Cricetulus griseus: one gene and its partners. The protein of the gene in region 2 purifies or fractionates together with the protein of the main gene of each other region. This does not show direct contact. Links are inferred from orthologs where the notes say so. Each region holds a gene or a part of one and is shown on either strand. Other genes may lie near its edges.

Region 1 (7,067 bases), on a different chromosome or scaffold from region 2:
TACATAAAATTTTAAAAAATCTTCTACAAAGTAATGTTATATTTTTATGGAAAACAGAGATATGAAATATTCAATCTCCATATTGTTTTCCTTTGAACAAACTGCTTTAAAAGCGTCCTTTAATGGAAAATTGAGTACTTTTACAATCAGAATGTATGTCTGAACATTATTAAATGCCTTAATAACGTCAAATTCTTTTTCTCCTTAAAGATTGATCTTTAAAAACTTTTATTACGCATGTGTGATGGGGTAGATTTCTGCATGTGTGTAGAGTGACTGCGGAGGGCAGAAAAGCACACTGGATCCCCTGGAACTGGAGCTAGAGGTGGTTGGGAGCCACCTGACAAGGTGATAGGAACTGAACTCAAGGCCTCTTTATAAGATCAATACACCTTAACTTCTGAGGCCACAGACAAGATTAAATAACCTTTTCTAAAAATAAAACGTTAGGTACATTTTATGCCATGTTATGTGTGTGCGCACGCTGAGTGCATGCGTGCATGTGTGTGCACACATGTGCCACGGTGCATACACGGAGGTCAGAAACAACTTCTCTTCCACTATGGGGATTCTGGGACTGAACTCAGGTCATGAGGCCTGGCAGTAGGCACCTTCATGTACTGAGCCACCTCACTAGCACAATCCTGTTCTTTAATGTTAAAACTAACCAAGCTTTTCTGGAAAAGGAGGAAAAGATGTTGCCAACTCCGGTATTTGTGATTAACATAATGGCTTTAATACACCACAACTGGAGAAAGGAGGCTACACTTTGCCTTTGCTTTGCCAATGCTTTTAATGGGCTCACTTACAGGGCACTAATGAAGGCTAAAGGGGCATGGATGACTGTGTAACAGTGGCAGCATTGCAAAGTCCCACCCAATCAGTGACAACAGTCTCTCCACATCACCATTTCTGACTGGCTCTCCACAGCACAGCCAAGGGTAATGACATGAAACAGCTTCTCCCCCTTGTGGGAAGATCAGACACAACACCACATTTGTATAGTGTTCCTTCTCTCAGCACTCTTCGTGAGATAATGGCTCATTATGTAGCCACGTCTGGCCTCAAACTCTCCATTCTCCTGCCTGAGCCTCCTGAGATTTAGAAGTGTGCATCAAATGGACATCTTTAAGGCCCCGAAATACCCGTATCCTAAGAGCTTTCTGATATTGTCCTAGGATTTGACACTGCTACCAGTAACACAGCCTACTCTAGTAACACATACTCTAGTATGTCTCATCTACTATGACTATCACTTTCCCATGTAAGCTGCAAGATGTGTGAAGGAGAGAAACATGTTTTATTAAGCATTTATCCTATCACCTCCTGTGCCTTGCACAAAGTAAGCAGGCAAAAAATAAAGAATGAAGAAGCCCTGGCCATAGAAGATGTGTTTAAGAATGTAGTTTTCTTCAAATGAACAGGTAGAAGCATGCCCTCTTCCTTCAATCTCCATTTCTTTGTTTAGTAATCAGTAGTTAAAGTTTGGTTGTTGATTACTTTTTCCTAAACACTGAAGATTCTCTGGTACAAAGTCCTGGCCATTAGCTGGAAAATTCTGTAACTCTGGGTCCTGATCCATAGACTGGAGAATAAGTACACGATGATTAAGTGAAGTAACAGATACAAACTCAAGAGTGCTTGGAATATACCGTTGGTCAATGCAGAATGAATGCCCATGTGAATTCAATTAAGATAGACAGGTTTATAATCAGACAGTCCGTTCCCACTCACACATTCAGTAATCCAGCGGCAGGCTTTTAACCACAAAATAACTGATATGCCAAAATGTGCATCGAACAAAAGTCATCAGTGAATACTCACACAATGGCCCTTAGCACTCTCAGACCAGCAGGGAGCACCCTTAGCACTCTCAGACCAGCAGGGAGCACCCTAGCACAGTTAGGTTCCCTCCAAGCTGCCCCAGCGCTTATTCCAAGTGATAGCTTCCCATGTTGGACAGACTCAGTTACATTTCCTTCTCCCCACCTTCCCCTTTTAGTTAAGTAAGAATCCCTTCTACTGTCTTTACTGTGGGCTTACACATTTTAGCTGTTCTCAAAATGAAGACACGCTGTGAGGGTCCTCAGCACACCCTGAGTAAGAAGCTGTCTAGCTTAAATTCCTAACCTTGGATTGTTATTCTTTTGCTTAGGTGCCAAATGTTATTCCTTTGCTTAAATTAGAAATAAAAGAAGAGGGGGCCGCAAGATGAGACATGAGACTATTAGACATATTAACCAGTTTATTGTAGGCCTGGCAGAGTAGAGAGACTAAGAAAGAAGAGAAACAGGGTTAATGGCTGACCGCCATGGCCGGTCGCCAGAGAGAGAGAGAGAGAGAGAGAGAGAGAGAGAGAGAGAGAGAGAGAGAGAGAATAGGTGGGAGAAAAGAAGAGCAGGAGAGAGTAGAGAGAACGTAAATGGACAGGGGTCTGTCTTTTAAAGGGGTCCTTTGCACCTGTGTGCAGACTTAGTTCCTTCCCATGGAACCCTGGGCTGATCCGGGTACTGCCTGAGCAGATTCCGGCAGGTAACAGAGGCAGGCCAGCATAACGCCTGAACCTTTCATGGTCTTCCTCAGTGACTTGAAACACTTTTGACACATTATCTCCTGGGTTGGGTCATAGCAGTGGAAAGCATGCTTATAGCATGCATAAAGTGTGGTCTCCAGCATTTAGGACAAACAGAAGGAAAACAATACATTACAAACCCACAACCCTCTCTCTTAAACTGCTGGTGAAGGAAACCAACACAACACATTTTACTTCCCTCTGCGTCTTAGCAATAAAGAACTAAGAACAAACTGTAGGGGCTGACTCACAAGATGAAGTGTTCCCAAATGGTCCACACAGGAGCTCTTCCAAGAATGTATAATTTTCTAAGTTATTAAAGAATCACTTTAAGTGATTCTCTTTAGAAGTATTGTGAATTTTAATTTTAAAAAATTAAGTTGTGGTATTTATATCTTTGGGGGTGGGTAATGCTTTGGACTGAACCTAGGGTATTATGTGCTTGCCAGAGAAGGGAAGCTATATCCCCCAGCTGGTTTAAAAAAAAAAAAACTTTTTAAAGATTTTATTTATTTATTTATTATGTATACAACATTCTGCTTCCATGTATATCTGCACTCCAGAAGAGGGCACCAGATCTCATAACAGATGGTTGTGAGCCACCATGTGGTTGCTGGGAATTGAACTCAGAACCTTTGGAAGAGCAGTCGGTGCTCTTAACCTCTGAGCCATCTCTCCAGCCCTGGTTTTAAATTTTTATATCAAATACTGATGGCAGCAACCATATTTAAAAAAATAGGTAACTGTCCTTCAACCATGTAATGACATTTTGAGAAGGTGCCATCCATGAACTAGAAATCCTTATGACAGCACACCCGCTGGACCTTGATTTTGGATGTCCTGGCTCTCAGAAATGTGAAGGCCTGCTGGGTGCTGGGATTGTTACTTACATTTGTAAGTAACAAACATAGAGCTACTTCTAGATTTCTAAGTTCTATACTGAGACAGTACCAGTTTTAAGCAGTCACTGTTGGTGTGGCTCAGTGGTAGTGTGTGTGTGCTGAACAGCACAAGGCTGAGTTCAAACCCGAGTCCCCAGCAGCTTCCCCTAACTATACATAACACAAGAAAAGCCACGACCTTCCTAAAGACAAAGTCTCCCACAACCTACTACAAATCAGCTCTGACTTAGCGCCCAAAGAAACAGCATGCATAAGTACAAAAATTAATTTACGTTAATTTTCCTTTTTGCCTATCCAAACAGGAAAAATGAGAATGACATTAGATACTGAGTTATAAAATAAAATGTAGTTTCTAAATTTTTTAAATTGTGAAAGGGGAACATCACTAGCAAAAGTTTTTCCAAGGCCAGGTGCGGTGGCTTACATGGGAGGCTAGGAGAAGACCAGGAATCCAAGGCCAGACTGAGGTACAACGACGTCAAGGACAGCTGGAGCTACGTAAGACTCTATCTTAAAACAAAAGAACCTCTTCTCAATTTTATTTCTACTAAAAACAAAGTTATATTTCCCTTATGATAAGAGTTTGGCTAGCACTATCAATTTCCCAGTCTTTAAAATAACAGCACTGGGCTCAGGAGACAGCCCAGCCAAAGTCAGGCCACACTTGCATCAGGACCCAAGTGGGATCATCAGAACATGAAAAAAGGCTGGGTGTGGTGGGGAACACTCACAATCCCAGCACCCAGCAAGCAAGTGGAAGATCTCTGAGGCTCAGTGACCAGGAAGCCAAGCCTAATTGGCAAATTCTGGGCCAATGAAAGACTTTGTCTCAAAACCAAACAACAACCTCTGCAAACAACAAGCCCAGTGTTGATAGCAATTGAAGACTAACCTAACACCAAGGCCTCTGGCCTCCACATGCATGCATGTATGTTATGCACATATGTATTTATGTATGCACGTACACTTACACACACATAGCACTGAATCAGCTGACTATGACAGTACTCAATTTCCTTAAGCTCATTTTATGATCACTGACGTTCTCCTTACAGCTAATATTCTGATTTGAAGAGGAGAAAAACTTGGTACCACATTTTTATTTTTTATTTTGTGGAGTATACACACTGTCATCTCACCTTGTTCCTCTTCACCACTAAGTACAGTAAGAGTTAGAACAGAGGGACAAACAGTATTCCAATGAGCTGCCTGGGCCTGTTTCACAATCATGCTTTCCCCAAGAAGCAAATTACACTTTGAAATGGTCCTCTGTACCTTGGAAGGGAGAGCTGTGTACCTGTAATGTATCTTGTCTTATGCTGATTTTCTGAGGTGCTTCATGGGCACTTTCTGAAGAATCCTCAAAATCATCAGTTTCTGAGGATGACGGACTCTCTACTGTCACAGTCACAGGAAAATCTGATTGCTTAAATAAAGAGGATAAAACTTAATGCCATAAGACAAATAATAAACACTAGAGGCCATCTGCTTAAATCAACCTGTCTGAAATGCCAAGTTATTACCTATAAATGGATCTCATTGCTCCTTAGCCTAACACAGTTAACAACCAGAAACCGCCACTAACTTTTTTTTTTTTCTTTTAGTTTTTTCAAGACAGGGTTTTCTCTGTGTAGCTCTCTGGCTGCCCTGGAACTTGCTCTGTAGACCAGGCTGGCCTCAAACTCACTGAGATCCACCTGCCTCTGCCTCCCAAGTGCTGGGATTAAAGGCCACCACCTAGCTGCTAACTTATTCTTGCTGTTACTACAGAACCCTGTACTGCATAAGGCTGATTATTGTTTGGCACTGTCCACATTACTTTGCTAAATTCCACCTAGATAAATCAAGTTTAGATCCAGGATAAACATTTCTTTTCAGGGTAATTTTTGTACGGGGGATGATAAATTTACTCTAAGGTGAGACATAAAGAGTGTGGAAGTATAATTTTTAGGGGAAAAGAATGAATAGAATATAAGGTCAATAAGCTTATCTGTAATTGATAAATAGTAGAATGGTTTTAAAAACTAAGTCACATACATATACAACCCACCAGAAAAACCTCACCTTCACTTCTCTGCATCCTAGACTAGTGTAGTAACAGTGTAACTCTCCTGTCTAGTTTCAATGAGGTGTCCCTCTAGCTAACAACTAATGTGACGATCATAACCCTACTGAAAATGTACACAGTCTAGGGACAACTCTGCAGGATATGCAAAACTTCAGTGGCAGAACGAGATGACCTCCTAATGTGTTAGTGTATACAGCGTAACACCAACACACAGGGTGGTACACTAGATGTTCTCCTCCGTGAATGACTACAGGGTGACACAGCACTCTGACGGAAGTAGCCTGATCCAGAACTGAGGCAGTGGGATAAGGACTGTTTGTGACCCTGACTTGAACACGTGGAGTGTTGTGCATGATTGCGTGCGTGCGTGCGTGCGTGCGTGTGTGTAAAATACATATAATACTCCAAAGCAACATTGGAACATTTTTGAGTGGTCATCCCCTGGTCAAACCTATTGTAAGCATCATCTTTTTTGTAGAAATAGTATCTACAAAGGGCCTCCCAAAGTATGTGTCATATACATGTAACTGTACCATGGTAGCCAGGAATCCAGAGAGCTTTAAATACATTTATGTCAGGGAGGGAAAACCATCCTACAGAGCTCTCTATTCAGCTGACCCTACACTTCTACTCTAATCCCTTATATGTCAGAAACATGACAGATACATACCTTCAGAAGGTTAGGCATATCACGAGTTTTGAACAATGGAAAACCCCTAAAAGGATATCAACAAGTTATATTTTAATGTATACACACTACATGATTAAACTTATTTGTATTATGTACACTATCCATATAGAACCACAGCACTAAATACCTCTAAATCACCTATGAAAAAAACCTGAACAGACCAAGCAGAATGTCATTCTGACAGGTTACTTAAACATAGCTGGTTCCCGAGGATTGGTAGATACAGTCTGCTTTTTTGTCTTTCCTTAGGGCACTCCTTTGCAGAGGCTATGCGTGAGTCACCCCTTTCCACTTAAGAAATCAACAGGAGAACTCCTATGTAACAGAAGCTCCTAAATGACAGCAGTCAGGACTGAGGCACATGACAGAGAACACCTTACCTGTTTCTTCTTGCACGTTCTGCAGTGCGCCAGGGCAGGAAACCTGACGCGCCTGGTGGCAGAGGATCTGGGGCATAGCAGTCTTTACTGAGCCCGTGTTTTCTCCCATTATTCCCAGGTTTCTTTGTAGCTAACCCTATGTTCAAGGAAGACATAAAAGAAAATCAAGATGTACTAAAGGACTACAGATTACCATTCACACACTCCTAACAGAACACAAATGAATAACTGACTACGATGCCAAGGCTATTACAGTACAAGTGATTTATAAACTTTGTTTTTTGAAAACGGGTTTCTCTGTCTAATTCAGGCTACACTTGAACTTACGACCCTCCTGCCTATGACTTAACAGTGTGTGGATTACAGGAATCCCTGCCCAAAAAGGCTGAAGGTTACTGAGTGGATGTTATCCTCATTTTGATGACTTTCAGTCTTCACATGAGTATAGAACACA
Region 2 (7,067 bases):
TTCTAGCCGAAAACTAAGGCATGAACAAGAGTCAGCAAATCACTTGGTGACCAATGAACACTAAGCAACACTACATGCTAGTAACTTATTTAGTAAACAAAAACCTGTCAGACATACCATCTGTGAGCCCCAATTAAACATGAGTCACAAGTCCTAAACAGTCTATTCATTCTAGTATTTACACGTTCTCCTTATCTGAGCTGCTGATAACACATCTGTAATTGACGGTTTTAAGTCAGTATATTAAACAGTAAGAAAAATAGCATCTTGGAAATTCAATACAGGAAAAAGAAGATCAATCTTTAAGACGTCATAAAGTCCAGAGAACTCATAGGAAACCACAGAGGAGTAACAGTAATTATGATACTTAACATATACAAATTTATAAAATATGGAACTTCTAATGAAAACTGAAGTCTAGCAGCCATAGGGGCATTACCTGAATGATGTAAGGGGCGGCCCTTCGCTTTCAGTGAGTCCGATCTCTGCTAGTAAACTGCTCTTCAACTGGGCAGCAACGTCGTGAGCTGACGGCCCTGGATTTGAACTCTCGGCTTCCTCAGCCAGCACACTCTGCTCTTCCCCTTCTTTCTTTTGGCGGTTTTGCATGTTCATTACATTTTTTAGATTGGCAGCGTAAGACATTTTAGTTGGAAGAACCTATGCAATTTTAGGTTTAGAAGTTACACATTAAGGGGGGGAAATGTTTTCAACTTAATGGAGCCCCACAGAAATCCTGAGTTAAGTCACGATGCCCCCCTCCCTTCGCAGAGCTTCCACCACCAAATGCAGTCTGCTCTTGTCGACCAGTCCTCGAGGACCACAACACCCAGTGCACTCACCAGAGTGCACTAGACAATTTTCAAGGCAATCTTAGCTATCTCTGGTACCTAAGTCTCATACATTCTCCTTTATCACTTAACTGCAAAAGAAAATCAATTCAGCTATCTTTCTCTTATGCTGCCTTTAAACATACTATTTTTTCCCTACAAAAACAGGATATAATTTTACCTCTCAAATCAGCCATATATATCTGAAAACTTTAGCTGTGTGATAACTGACATTCCCACTTGAAATTTATAATCTCTTCAAGCCTTATTTCTTACCTAAATCTTTTCTGGGTTATAAAGAATGAGACAGAATTACTGAGGTGTCATTACTAATTTATCTTTATCATTACTTATTTGTCTTTATTCTTGATTCAAGCAGCTCAGCACATCAAGGGAAATTTGAAGACAAAATTACATGTGCTCATTTATCGGAAGTGATCTTATCCGGAAACCTAGATTTTCAGCAGGACACATCAACCACGGGCTTCGGCACTAAGCACTAAGCATACCCCAGAGATATGTGATGTGTGAAAAGAGGAACAGTTCGATTATGCTGTAATAAAAGGGACTTGTGGCATTTCTACTATTGAGGGACATAAAATATTCTGAACTAACCCATCTGTTCAAATCTGGATGCTGGGAAAAGTGCTAACTAAGAAATACAGTGTAAACTTTTACTCTCTTACCTCAAGGCAATTTCTGTCCATTGTAACTTCCACTAAGCATTTCCCACTACTGGTAGACGAGGAATAAAGACCCTGACTTGGACGGCCAAACAGATCTTCCTTTCTAGCATTTGGCTGGAATTTAACAAGACATATTATAGTTAGATTGAACACTTCAACGTCAGCTGTAAAAGAGCACTGGACCTGTTTAGTTCACCTGCAACAAATGTGGCTGATCGGCCAGGGGGATAGCCTCAGCCAAAGGCACTTCAAATGGATTTGGGGGAATACATCCAAGGAACGTCATAGAGTCTGAACGTCGGAAAAAAGGGTGGTTTTGGCCAGTTTCTGCAGGGAGAGATTCATCATCCTTATCATTCAAAGTAGCACCTAAACATTAAAAATTAAAAAAAAAAAAAGTAAGTACAAAGGATAACAGAAAATTAATTTGCTCAATCCAAAATGCTTGGTAGCTCTTATAAAATGTTCATATACTAGAAAGTAAGTTAAAGGTTGGATTGGAAACAGACTCTCATTGTGTGGCAGCCTTGGCCAACCGGGCTGACCTGCCTCTACTTACCTCAGCATTGACATTAAAGGCCTGTGTGACACCACAGCTAGCATTTGATGCATTTTAAGTGACATTCCAAAAGAATTGAATGCATTATATATCACACAGCAATAAAAATGCAAGAGTAAAAAAAAAAAAAAAAAAAAAAAAAGCGGATGAACACTGCTCAAAAGGCTTCTTGCACCCTACCCTCTTCTCTTTAGATCCAGAGAATGGGCTAACACGGAACAACTAGTCTCCAGAGCATGTTCAGGGCTCAGCCTAGTGACAGCAAAAGGAGATGAAAGAAGTCGAAATCTCACTACCTGCTTACCACACTGAAATCAACAAGGAGCTGCCGAGCAGCTTCTGTGCCCAGCACACTAGCAGCAGCTCTCCTTAATGGAACCAAACTCTTGGCAGTGCCTACTAAGGCTGCGGAAATGGTGGGTTATGGCTGAACTTTCCAAGGGAGAAAGAAAAAAAAACCAAACCCACCATAACAAAACAACATCAACAACCACCAAAAACCAAACCCAGACCAGCTGTCTTTCCCTGAGCTAATAAAAGTATTAGCTGGGAGTAATAAAGAGGAAACTGGACTGTTGGTTCTTAATCTCTAACTCCCAACTAAAACAACAAGTTGGCTCTGTACCAACTGGTTCTCAATGCTGTTCCTCCTCATGCTGCGACCTCAACCATAAAAGTATTTTCATTGCTACTTCATAATTGTCCTTTTTGTTACTATTATGAATTGTAACGTAAATATCTGTGTTTTTCAATGGTCTTAGGCAACCCCTATGAAAAGATCATTCAATCCCCAAGGTGTCAAGACCCCAAGGTAGGTTGAAAACCACTGTTTCACAGAATCCTCCAATTTTGTGGCATTAAAACTTAACTTCTCAGCCGGGCGTTGGTGGCGCATGCCTTTAAATCCCAGCACTCAGGAGGCAGAGAATCTATGTGAGTTCGAGGCCAGCCTGGTCACCAGAGCAAGTGCCAAGATAGGCTCCAAAGCTACACGGAGAAACCTTGTCTCGAAAAAACCATAAAAAAAAAAAAAAAACTTAATTTCTCTTACTTTCTATAACTAAATCTGCATCAGAATTAATAAAGAATTAACATTTTCCATGATTTGAAGTAATGGTAAATATAAACTAAGAGAAATGAAAAAGAGAAATTCTGAAAAAGTAGAGACTGCTGGCAAATTCCCATTAATTCAGTCTGAATTATGAAATACACAATAGGAGAATGTGTAAGGAAAATGACAGAGAAGAGAAATCCCCACACAGACAGAACACAGTGCAGTCTAAAGGCCTGGAGGGAACCCCTGAGGCAGCAGCCATCTCTGAGGCAGGCATCTCCTGACCCTGCTTAGACTTACTTTGACTGGTGTCCTCGTCGTTCTCATGCTCCGAATCTTCATTGTCGATGCCCAGCTCCAAGAGTTCCCGTGTCCTAGGAAAAGAGCAAAGTTGGCCATTTAAATCATGCAAGAAAAGAGCATGAGAAATGTCACTTTGGTCTCTCTCTACCAGCATGTGGGACCCAAGGATTGAACTTGGGTGTTAGGCAAACACCTTGACCATCGGACACCTCATCCTGAGCTCTAACTCACACCTAACACTACTATTTTATAGTTTCAGATACTGGGTGGTAAAATGCTCTGCCAGATTCCCTGTAATAACAAAATAGGCTCAACAGAAGCCAAAATAAATAAGTATCACTGAAGAAATACTGAGTGTCTACACAAACTCTCATCCAAATTTTGACAAGACAAATATCTCACCAATTTAGTTTAACTGGGTTCCAAATTTTCATTTTAAGTGGGAAATCATGACAGAATAGTTGGATAGAGGTTGAGCCCACTTTCCTACATGAACTACCTTTGTTAGCTTCTGCAGGGCTGGTCTCCTTAATCCAAACTTAGAGACTACACCACATAGTTCTCAAACAAGACTCAAGGAAAGAAAGCATGGATATACCTTTTGCGTTCCAGCTGAGGGGTGTCCAGTGTTGTCTGTTGATTCATTGCTTTAATCCAATATATCAGGGCTTGGAAAACATAAGCCACATGTTTCAGTGAGCAGACGTCCAGCACCGGAAGGACATCAGAATGCTCGTCGTTATGAGACCGCATTAAAGAAAGGGCATAGTTGAGAAAGTCTCCTCGAGCAGACATCATCCCCTGACGGGCGCTAAGCAGTGTGGCACGCCTATAGGGACAACAACCAAGAAGATGTTTACAAAACCCACAAATAGAACTAAGAAATGGAAAGCACTGGGTTGAAGTGATTGATGGCTCATCAGTTAAGAGCACTTGCTACACTTGCAGAGGACCTGGGTTTGATTCCCAGCACACACATGGTGACTCACAACCACCCAGGACTCCATTTCCAGGGCAATCTGACACCCTCTTATTGCTTCCTCAGGTATTCCACATGTGCAAGACACTCATAAACGTAAGACTAAGTAAACCGTAAGAGAAAATAGAGCACTCAAATGCTCTTTGTATGTACTACTGCTTATGATTTATTGCCTAACACCAGTCTTAAAATGTCTGAATTTGCATTTCTGACAAGTTGCCCACTAAGGCAAGATGGTGGAGTTCTAGGAACCATGACGAGAAGCATCCACCTGTGCTGGCCATTGTGGTGTCAACCTGATACAAGCTAGAGTTCTTTAGGAAAAAGGATTAGTCAATGTATAAGCAGTTTCCTCACCGATGCTTGATGTGGGAGGGTCCAGCACACTGTGTGCATGGTGCCACCCCAAGGTGCTGTAAGAGAGCAGGCTCAGCAAGCCATAAGAAAGACAGTGAGCAGCACCTTTCCCAGGCTTCTGCATCGGTTCCTGCTGAGGGCCTGCCCTGACTCCCCTGGATAATGGACTATAAGCTGTGAGATGAGATAACACATGGTCATGTCTCATTTATCACAGCAATAGAAAAGCAAACTAAGACACAGCCTGAAAGCAGTGTCAAATGTGGGGAATGGTCACTCACGCTGTCCCATGCTTTGGGACATGGGAGGCAGAGGGATGGAGAGAGAAGCAGGTCAGGGCTATACAGCAAATTAGACACCAGACTGCTACACGGCAAAATTTTGTCTCTGAATGAATGAATGAAAGAATGAACGAACAAATGATACCAGAAAGCACAAGCAGCAAATGAAAGTGTAAGTGAACTGGACTTTTATCAAAATTAGAAACTTTTGTACTTCTCAAAGGACACCAACAAATGAAAAATTGTAGAGATGGCTGAGAAGTTAAGAGCACTTGCTATTCCTTCCAGGTGACACAAGTTTGGATCCCAGCACCCAAGAAAGGTAACACACAGCTGCCAGTAACTGCAGCTCCAAAGGAGCAATTCAATTGAGAATCAAGAAGTGACCTTCACTCAAATATATACACATTAAAAAAAAAACAGTTTGATAAGGAAGTATTATTCAAAATATATATACTCATAACTAAACAAAAAGTAAAAAAGTTAGCTTACAGCTGTGCAAAAGAGCTAAGCAGACATAGGGCAAACTGCCAGTCAGCACATGAAAAAATAATGTTGCAGCATCGTTGACAAGTCCAAACCATAATGAACTCAGATGTGTGAACTGAGATGTGACTGCAGACTGCAGGTCCCATGCTATATCACACCCACTAGAGAAACCCTATCTGTGCGTATAACCCCAGCACAGTCCAGATGCAGGAAGATTAGTATTCAAGGCCATCCTCTACTGGGAAATTACTTTAAAGCGGGGTGTGTGTGTGTGTGTGTGCGTGCGTGCGTGCGTGCGTGCGTGCGTGTGTAGAGATAGGGGAAGGACCCAGAGAAACCAAAGCTCTCTCAAACCCTGCCTTTAGGAAAACAGTTTAAAGCGGGGGGGGGGGGGGGGGGGGGTGTGTGTGTGTGTGTGTGTGTGTGTGTGTGTGTGTGTGTGTGTGTGTGTGTGTGTGTGTGTGTGTGTGTGTGTGTGTGTGTGTGTGTGTGTGTGTGTGTGTGTGTGTGTGTAGATAGGGGAAGGACCCAGAGAAACCAAAGCTCTCTCAAACCCTGCCTTTAGGAAAACAGTCTGGCGGTGTCTCACAGTGTTAAACGTGCACATTACCACACGACCTAGCAATTTCACAACTACATAAAACACCAAAACTACATGTCCACACAAAACCTTCAAGGAAATGTGCGACATCATACACAGGAGTGAAAAGGCAGAAATATTCCAAATGTCAGTTGGTGAATGGCTTTTAACATTTTTAACAAAATGTCAGAATATTTTGAGTTATCGACAATGCTAAACATGGTTGAACCAAAACATCGATGTGTTAACAGAAGCCAGTCCTAAAAGATCATGGATTGTATGGTTCTCTTTCTCTCTCTCTCTCTCTCTCTCTCTCTCTCTCTCTCTCTCTCTCTCTCTCTCTCTCTCTCTGGGGGGGTGTTTGAGACAGGGTTTCTCTGTGTAGCTTTGGAGCCTATCCTGGCACTCGCTCTGGAGACCAGGTTGGCTCACAGAGATCCGCCCATCTCTGCCTCCCGAGTGCTGGGATTAAAGGTGTGCCCCATACAGCCCATCCATATTGTTTGATTCTATTTGCATAATATGTTTAGAATCTGTATAAAGAAAACAAGATAGGAATGACCACTAAGAAGTGTAGGATTTCCTAAAGAGATGATGAAAATGTTCCAAATTTGTAACAAGCCAATGAATCACATACTTAAAAAGAGTGACCTATATACATGTCATGTGATCAAACTGTAATCATTGATGGGGGGGAGGGGTACACAGTGCTGACACCAATCAACACCTCATGGCAGACATCTGTGTGCTGTTTTTTTAAGAGGATTTTCTGTGCATGAGCGTTTTGCCTGCACAAAGGACTGTGTGCTGTGTGGGTGGGTGCACTGCCCAAGGAGGCCAGCAGAGGGCATCTGATCTCCTGGAACTGGAGTTGCAGATAGTTTTGCGCTGCCTGATGTGTGTGCTAGGAACCTACCAAATGTCTCTCTCGGGTTCAGATGCCTCTATC
Region 3 (7,067 bases), on a different chromosome or scaffold from region 2:
TGGCTTCAAAGTTTCCGGTTGCATTTGTGGATAAAGCACATCACAAATGCTCTGCTGGCATCAGAAGAACCAGTTTTGTATGGTGGGGGAAAGAAGCAATTTTAATCCACTTCTAAACTGTTGCAAGTATAGCCGTGTTATAGGGGAGTTAGTGATAGCAGGCTCAGGCTCACACTGCGACAACTAAGTGATAATGGGAATAGAACAGGAACCTCTTAAGGGGAGAACAGCTTTTGTAGTTTTTAAATATACTTGAATGACCTAAAGGCACTAAACATCACTAAGAGACTTGTAGTTTTACAAAAGTCCCCAGACCAAATCTTATATTTCTCATGCCTTTAAGCCGATTTTTTAAAAAATTAAATACACAAATTTTTAAGTCCTATAAGCCACTGATTGGGAGAACTGTCACTTAAAATGTAACTTACTGACATATTATTGCACTTCACAGATTACACAGAAATGTGTACAGTATGCTAAAGAATGTGACTAGGGAAATAAGCTATCATTGCTAAGTACAGAAGGTACAAATTAATTTACCAATGGCATCCTTAAATAGTAAAGCAAACAGCAACATCACTAACTTATTAATAAGCTAATCTTATTACTGATTTTTGGCAAATATTTGAAATAATTCCTGAGCATATTTTTCCACCATCAACTGGCAAAGCCTCAAGATAAGAAAAATGTTTTATTCAAAATGACACTTTTTATTTGTTTTTTTTCTTTGTTTTGTTTTTTTGCTTTTTTGTTTTTCTAAAATAAGAAAAAACATAGAATTAAAAAATAAAGAAAAAACTTAACCGGAAACTTTCTTGGCCTCACTGGGGACCATGCTTTAAGTACTTTGTAAATCGATTTACAGGCAATACTATAATATCTGTGCATATAAAAGATTATTTATCCTAATTTTTACTATCCAAAACCTATTGTCCAAACAGGCAGAAATCTTTCTCTATTAAATTGCACATACTAAAAAAATTCTTTCCACGTGCCTTGAAATTGATATATATCACTGTTCATCCATTAGTGATAAAATACTGAAATTTTCACTGTGAAAATAATTATCATTCAGAGAAGAAAATATTCTTTTACCTAACTCTTAGTTACTCTTTCAGGTAAAGTGTCATCCCCACAAAAACACTCAGTGCCATCCAAAAGAAAGTAAAACTAAACAGAGGGATGCAGTTTCCGTGGCTCTTCTAACAAATCAAAGAATAAGTCAAACCATTTAACTCGAGGTTGAATTTCTCCTCCTTTCAATTTATTGTTAAAACTGGCCCAAATGAATGGCCACAGTGACTTCTCTTCACCAAGAGGATTTCCAACCCCTTTTCTTTCTAACGAAAGAATTGATGCTTTCCCAGGCTAAGGGAACCTCAGTGGCGCCTACAGTGTGAACTCACTCTGGCCAGCTAAATCTTCGGAACTATGGAAATCTCCCCCTTAGGTAGCTAGGCTGCTGATCTTTTGGAAACTGGGGTATGAAACTCTGAACATAATGGCAGCTGAAATGGCTCTATGAATTAACAGTCTGGGGTAGGCAGCTGAAGGAAAAAGACACACTAAATGCAGGCAGCAGATGTGTGATAAAAGAGAAAGAGAAGCAGGGAACAGTGGTGGGGGGAGTCCTAAAATTAGGCAGAAAAGCAATTTCATAATCAGAAGGTTTCCTGATTATGACAGCTTGCCATCTTCCCAGAGCCTCGGGAGGAATTCTACATCTCAGCTTCCACTTATCCACTAAATGTTGCTTGGTGGCTTACAGGCATCAGAATGTTAAGTGGGCGGGTTAAACCTGGGCAACACACCATGAGGAAAAAGACAATCTCTAAAGTGCGTTTTTTTCTTAGAGATTTTCACCCTGACCCTTCGTCTTCCACCTCCACTCTGACCCAGGTTAATTTACGGAAAATGGAAGCAAGGCCTGCTGCTCCTGCGGGAACCTAGAGCATGGAGAGAGGAGGAGGACCCCTAGGGGCCACCTCCCTGGGGAGCATAGAGGATGAACCATGAAAACATAGTGATTATGTTTGACCAATCTGTAAATGTGTGGCCGTCATGAAGAAATCAATGGCCTGCCACTGGTATGATCACTCTGCCACACTAAATACAGTAAGGCTCATCTTACTTTTAGAACACAAGAAAGGGAGAAAAACTATTTCAGAAAGTATAAAAACTTAAAGCATTGTCCCCATGTATTTTATAAAAACAAAACAAACTCTTACATCAAGTGCTGAAAAGATAAAAACGAGTCGAGTTTCTGAGCAAATAAAAACAGGTCTGAGCTATACTATTCAACCCAATAAGGCTCAGCTATAACGCATTTTTCAGCTTGCCAGCATCAGGGGGATTGGAGCTCAGCTAACGAGTTTTGGCAACATTGTCCTCTGCTGAATATTCCCATTGGCATCTGTCATCTGTGCCAAATTAGTCCTCAGCTTGGAAGCTGAGCTGGAAGGTGGAGGTAACTTGGAAATCGACGTGATAGCACCAGCGCTGTCCGTGACCCTCTTCACCGCTGTCTTCTCCCCAGTCGGAGGCTTTGGCAATCGCCTCCTGAGCCAGGGGTGCCGCAAAGCCTGGCCCGGGGTCATGCGGACCGCGGGATCCCACTCCAAACACTGTTTTAAGAAGTCAAGGAAAAGAGGGTCATCACATCCCTTCAGTGCGTTCCCCCACTCTCTGCTCTCTGGCGGGCCCCTCAGTTTCCCTCTCCGGGATCGGCCTCCGTTGAGGACTACTGAGCCATCTGAAAGAGTTGTGACAGTGCAGTACCGGGGATAACCCTTGGAGCTCACGAAATTTTTGGCTCGTTTGGAAGCATCCAGGAGTTTCTGGGAGGGCATGCCCAAAAGCTCAATCATACAAGCTAGTTGGTCCCCTTCATCCTCCCCAGGCAAGAGGGGGTAACCTGTCAGGAGTTCCGCGAGGATGCAACCCAGGCTCCACATATCAATGGGCATGCCGTACCTGGCTCCAAGGATCACTTCCGGAGCCCGGTAGAAGCGCGACTGGATGTACGTGTAGACACGCTGGTGCTCATAACAACTGGAGCCAAAGTCAATCACTTTAATACTGCTTCTACCTTGCTGCTTTAACAAAATATTCTCGGGCTTAAGGTCACAGTGGATTATTCTGTTTTTGTGCAAAGCATCCAAACACTGCAGGATCGAGTGGGCAAACTTGCGCACCAGAGGCAGGCTGAAGCCCTGGAATTTATTCTTCTTGATAAGCTCATAGAGGTTCATGCTCAGCAACTCAAACGTCATGCAGATGTGGTTGCGGAAGGTAAAATTCTCCAGCATGTGGATGACGTTCATAGTGTTGTCTTTATCCTGCTTCCGTAGGTGTTCCAAGATTCGGATCTCCTCTGCCGCCTGCCGGTGGAAGCGCTTCTCGTTCCGCACCATCTTCAGGGCCACGTGCTGGTGGACTTTGTGGTCATAGGCCTTGACCACCTGCCCAAAGCTCCCCTTCCCAATGACCTTGAGGACCTCGTACCTGTAAGCCACGTGATCATGGGGCACCTGTACATATGATCCCTGGTCATCATCATAACCCCCATTGTTGGGTCCACCTGTCATGCCTTGGCGTTTCTTTGCATTTGGACCCAAGAAATATATTTCAGGGTAGCTAAAAATCTCATGGTGTTCAAAGGCTGTGAGTTTTTGCATGTATTGCTTCATCGCTTGTTCGGGTGTCATGGGGGTGGCTTTCACCTTCCCCATGCCTTCCATGGACTTGAGAGAGGTGGAACTCCCCTGCCGTCTGTGAATGCTTTCCAGCTGCCGCTCGGGCACCACAGGCAAGCCTGTTTTGCCCACTGTTGTAAGCCCATTTGGTTGTGTTGTAAGCACTGTTCTTTTGTTACTGTTATCCTCAAACAGCTGCTGAACCTGGATCTGGCCGTGGCTGTGGCTGCTGATGTGGAGGTGGTCATTCATGGTGTGCTTACCGCCGCCAATCTGGAATCCAGACAAGAAACATAAACAGAAAGGAAGGGGCCTTCTCTCCAAACGTGATATTAGAAATCAGCTCTCATTACCCAACCCCCAATTTGGCATGAACCTACAGCCACAGTGTGTGTACCCAAGAGATCCCATGAACGTACCAGCAGGGAGAGCGAATAGGATGCTAATAGGCAAGACAGTAAAAGAAAAGGAGGACAGTAGATTGGGCAAGGTTAGGAAACATAGGACAGCCCTGGGAATGCCACAGCTACATAGCCTGGGTCCTAGAAGTCAGTTTTCCTGAAGGCAGGGATCAAACCTTCCTGTTACCATGTTGCACCTAATGTTTAATAAGAAGCCTGGCACATGGTGGGTATTTTAAGCCATAACTGATCTGAAAAGGAAACAAGTGAAGCACACAGGTGACGTGTCATCCACACTGCTGCCCACACCCAGATCACAGTGTCTTCCCCTTTTATTCAGGCATTCTTTACTTACATGAGAATGGGGAATCACATTTGTCCAGCACTCCCTCGCATATCCAGCCCACCTCCAGAAACACTTTATACTTCCCTAGTCCCTGGAGGTTCTAATTAATCTAGGAACACACACAGTAATAAACAAAATGTGCTTCTATTGACAGAGTCTCCCATAGACACGTGTGCCCTAGTTACCTTGCAAACTCCAAACCTTTTTTTTTCTTTTTAACAGTTACTGGGTGTCACTGACTTTAATCAGTTAAGGTCATTCTGTGCAACAAGCTGAACAATTGCCATTCAGCTTGGACCGCTGGATTACAGCTCAGTACCCACACATGTATCTCTACTTCTACAGGCTGTTGTGACCCTCAGCTTTCCAATAAAGAAAAACATGATGTTAATACTGCCACCTCGGCAGGCTGTAGAACTACCTAGGAGGTGTGTCCCCTAAAGAGTTTCTAGATTGGGTAAACTGAGGTGGGAAGAGGCAAACTAAATATGGTTGGCACTGTTCCATGGGCTGTGGTTCAAGACTGAATAAACAAAGTAAACCTAGTATCAGCAGCCTGCAACTTTCTGCTTCCTCCCTGCAGATGCCACACATCAGCTACCTCGGGTTCCTGCCACCATGCCTTCACTGCCATGACAGTGTAGCCGGTCTTCAACTGTGTCAGCCAGAATACACCCCTCCTCCTTTAAGTTGTTTCTGCACAGCTATTTGCTCCCAGCAAAGGAAACAGTAACCAATACAAATACAAAGTGGCAATTTCTATTTCGGGCACACATACCATCCCGGAATAGTCCTATTTAAACAAAACCTACAGGCCAAAGGCAGAGCCCCCACTCTCCTACCCAGAATCCGCCTGGAATTTCCTTCAAGCAGCCCACTAGGGAAATTCTTCCTTGAGATCTCAAAGAATCAACTTGTCACCAAAATCCACCTCACTCATTCAACCAGCTGTAAGGAGGGACTAGCTACAGAGTGGCAGGAACTCTGCCCATTGGGAATTTATAGTAAATAAAACAGTCCTTTGTCATCAGTGCTAAGTCCTCTGTTTGGGGCATTCATATTCTGGGAAGAAAGAAGTACAGTAGAGAAGCACAGTGATTTGAGAAATACCTTGGGAACACCTGGATTATAAAATGAAATTCCGGCCCTTCCTTCCTTACTAACAGGCGATGACCTTCACCGTCTTTTTTTTTTTTTTTTTTTTAACTGACAAGCAGCAAGCATAATGGCCATCTATGGAGTGAGGCTCTGCTCCGCTCACTTCTAAAAGAGAAAGAAGCCAGTTCCTGGACCTGATTTCACGGGATCAAGAATTTTACTTCTCAAGACTTCTAGCAGATTTCTCTTATTGAACACACAGATGATACCTCCATGTAGGGTGGCTTTATATTCCACTAAGGCAGTTGTATCTCTTCCTGCTTCAAAAGCAAGGCAGTCCATAAAAGACATTAGAAAAGTCTTGATCATATACAAAAGCAGCACAAACTTGTTATTGTTCTTTCCCTCTCTCTCTTCCTTCCCTTCCCCATATTTTTAAGATGCCAGAGTTAGCCAAGAACACACTAGCAAAGTCTAGCCCTAGGGAAAGAAAAAAATAAAAAACTTGCCACCATCACCCACCGCCACCTCTCACAGGCTAGGTGGCTGAGTGCTCCATCATGCCCTCATCCATCCACTGCTTTTCCTCCAAAGCCTCATTCACCCCTGTGCTCTCTTTTCTCTGAAGTCTTTCAAACACTGGGGATGAAAAGATTTGAAACCTCTCTCTTCAGGGCAAGATGGAGGACACTTCAGAAGAACCGACATTACTCAGATCTGTGCTTTACCACTCATGAAGCACATTAAGGACAAAATCAACCTTGGGATTTTAGGAGTCCTAAAATGCTAGGAAAAGGAAACATTTTGAGCATCAAGGATTTACTCTGATTTAGGTCATTGCAATTAAATTTTGTAGAAACCAAACATTATTTCAAATATTTTAGTGACCAGAACTAAAGAGCTTGCCCATAACCTGGCCTACCACCTCTCTCCACCTGCCTTCTCTTGCCCTCCTTTAGCAGTATCAGCTATGGCTGCCTGCTCATAGATGGATCTAAGCTTCTATTCTCTTGGGTTTTCCACTCCTACAATTTCCTGGTCCATCCTGCACACAGCCAGGATGTCAGGAGCACCCATAATTGGCTGCGGTCTCTCCTGTGTCCTCTTGCAGACCTGCCCATCCATGCCCCTTTGCCCAACTGCTAAAGGGAGTTTCCACTCCCACAAGCAACTGGAACAAACTCATAACTTCTCTTTATAAAACCAAATGTTTTCTTGCTATCATAATCCTCAACTTTAAAAAAAAAAAAAATTCAAAACAGAAAAAAAGAACCCTCTTCCCAAATAATCACTCTGGCTAATACTTGGGAATCCCTGACAGTGTATATACCTGGAAACCACTCTCAGCATCTGCCCACTTCCCACACTATCATGAAGCCTTCTGTGCCCACTCACTCATGCCCTATCAGTTACATTTCACCTTCTGCTGTTTTCACTGGGACAACTGAGGCAGATATGCAGGCAGCAGACAGACAGACAGACAGACACACACACACACACACACACACACACACACTAGCCTAAACT

What was found.
Region 1: the proteins of Ubr5 (region 2) and Cep78 purify together in Homo sapiens (affinity purification with western blotting; 3 studies listed by BioGRID, with this or other methods). This does not show direct contact. The link is inferred for Cricetulus griseus from reciprocal best matches to the Homo sapiens genes UBR5 and CEP78.
Region 3: the proteins of Ubr5 (region 2) and Dyrk2 purify together in Homo sapiens (affinity purification with western blotting; 3 studies listed by BioGRID and IntAct, with this or other methods). This does not show direct contact. The link is inferred for Cricetulus griseus from reciprocal best matches to the Homo sapiens genes UBR5 and DYRK2.

What each region holds. Positions count from the first base shown.
Region 1 is NC_048596.1:45,107,062-45,114,128, reverse strand, and holds part of Cep78 (centrosomal protein of 78 kDa), read right to left. Parts: intron 6,750-7,067; coding exon 6,614-6,749; intron 6,259-6,613; coding exon 6,213-6,258; intron 4,901-6,212; coding exon 4,772-4,900; intron 1-4,771. UniProt on the Homo sapiens protein: Centriole wall protein that localizes to mature centrioles and regulates centriole and cilia biogenesis. Involved in centrosome duplication: required for efficient PLK4 centrosomal localization and PLK4-induced overduplication of centrioles.
Region 2 is NC_048603.1:13,793,447-13,800,513, reverse strand, and holds part of Ubr5 (E3 ubiquitin-protein ligase UBR5), read right to left. Parts: intron 4,262-7,067; coding exon 4,031-4,261; intron 3,504-4,030; coding exon 3,430-3,503; intron 1,886-3,429; coding exon 1,713-1,885; intron 1,631-1,712; coding exon 1,517-1,630; intron 661-1,516; coding exon 440-660; intron 1-439. UniProt on the Homo sapiens protein: E3 ubiquitin-protein ligase involved in different protein quality control pathways in the cytoplasm and nucleus. Mainly acts as a ubiquitin chain elongator that extends pre-ubiquitinated substrates.
Region 3 is NW_023276806.1:137,766,038-137,773,104, reverse strand, and holds part of Dyrk2 (dual specificity tyrosine-phosphorylation-regulated kinase 2), read right to left. Parts: intron 3,969-7,067; coding exon 2,361-3,968; 3' UTR 1-2,360. UniProt on the Homo sapiens protein: Serine/threonine-protein kinase involved in the regulation of the mitotic cell cycle, cell proliferation, apoptosis, organization of the cytoskeleton and neurite outgrowth. Functions in part via its role in ubiquitin-dependent proteasomal protein degradation.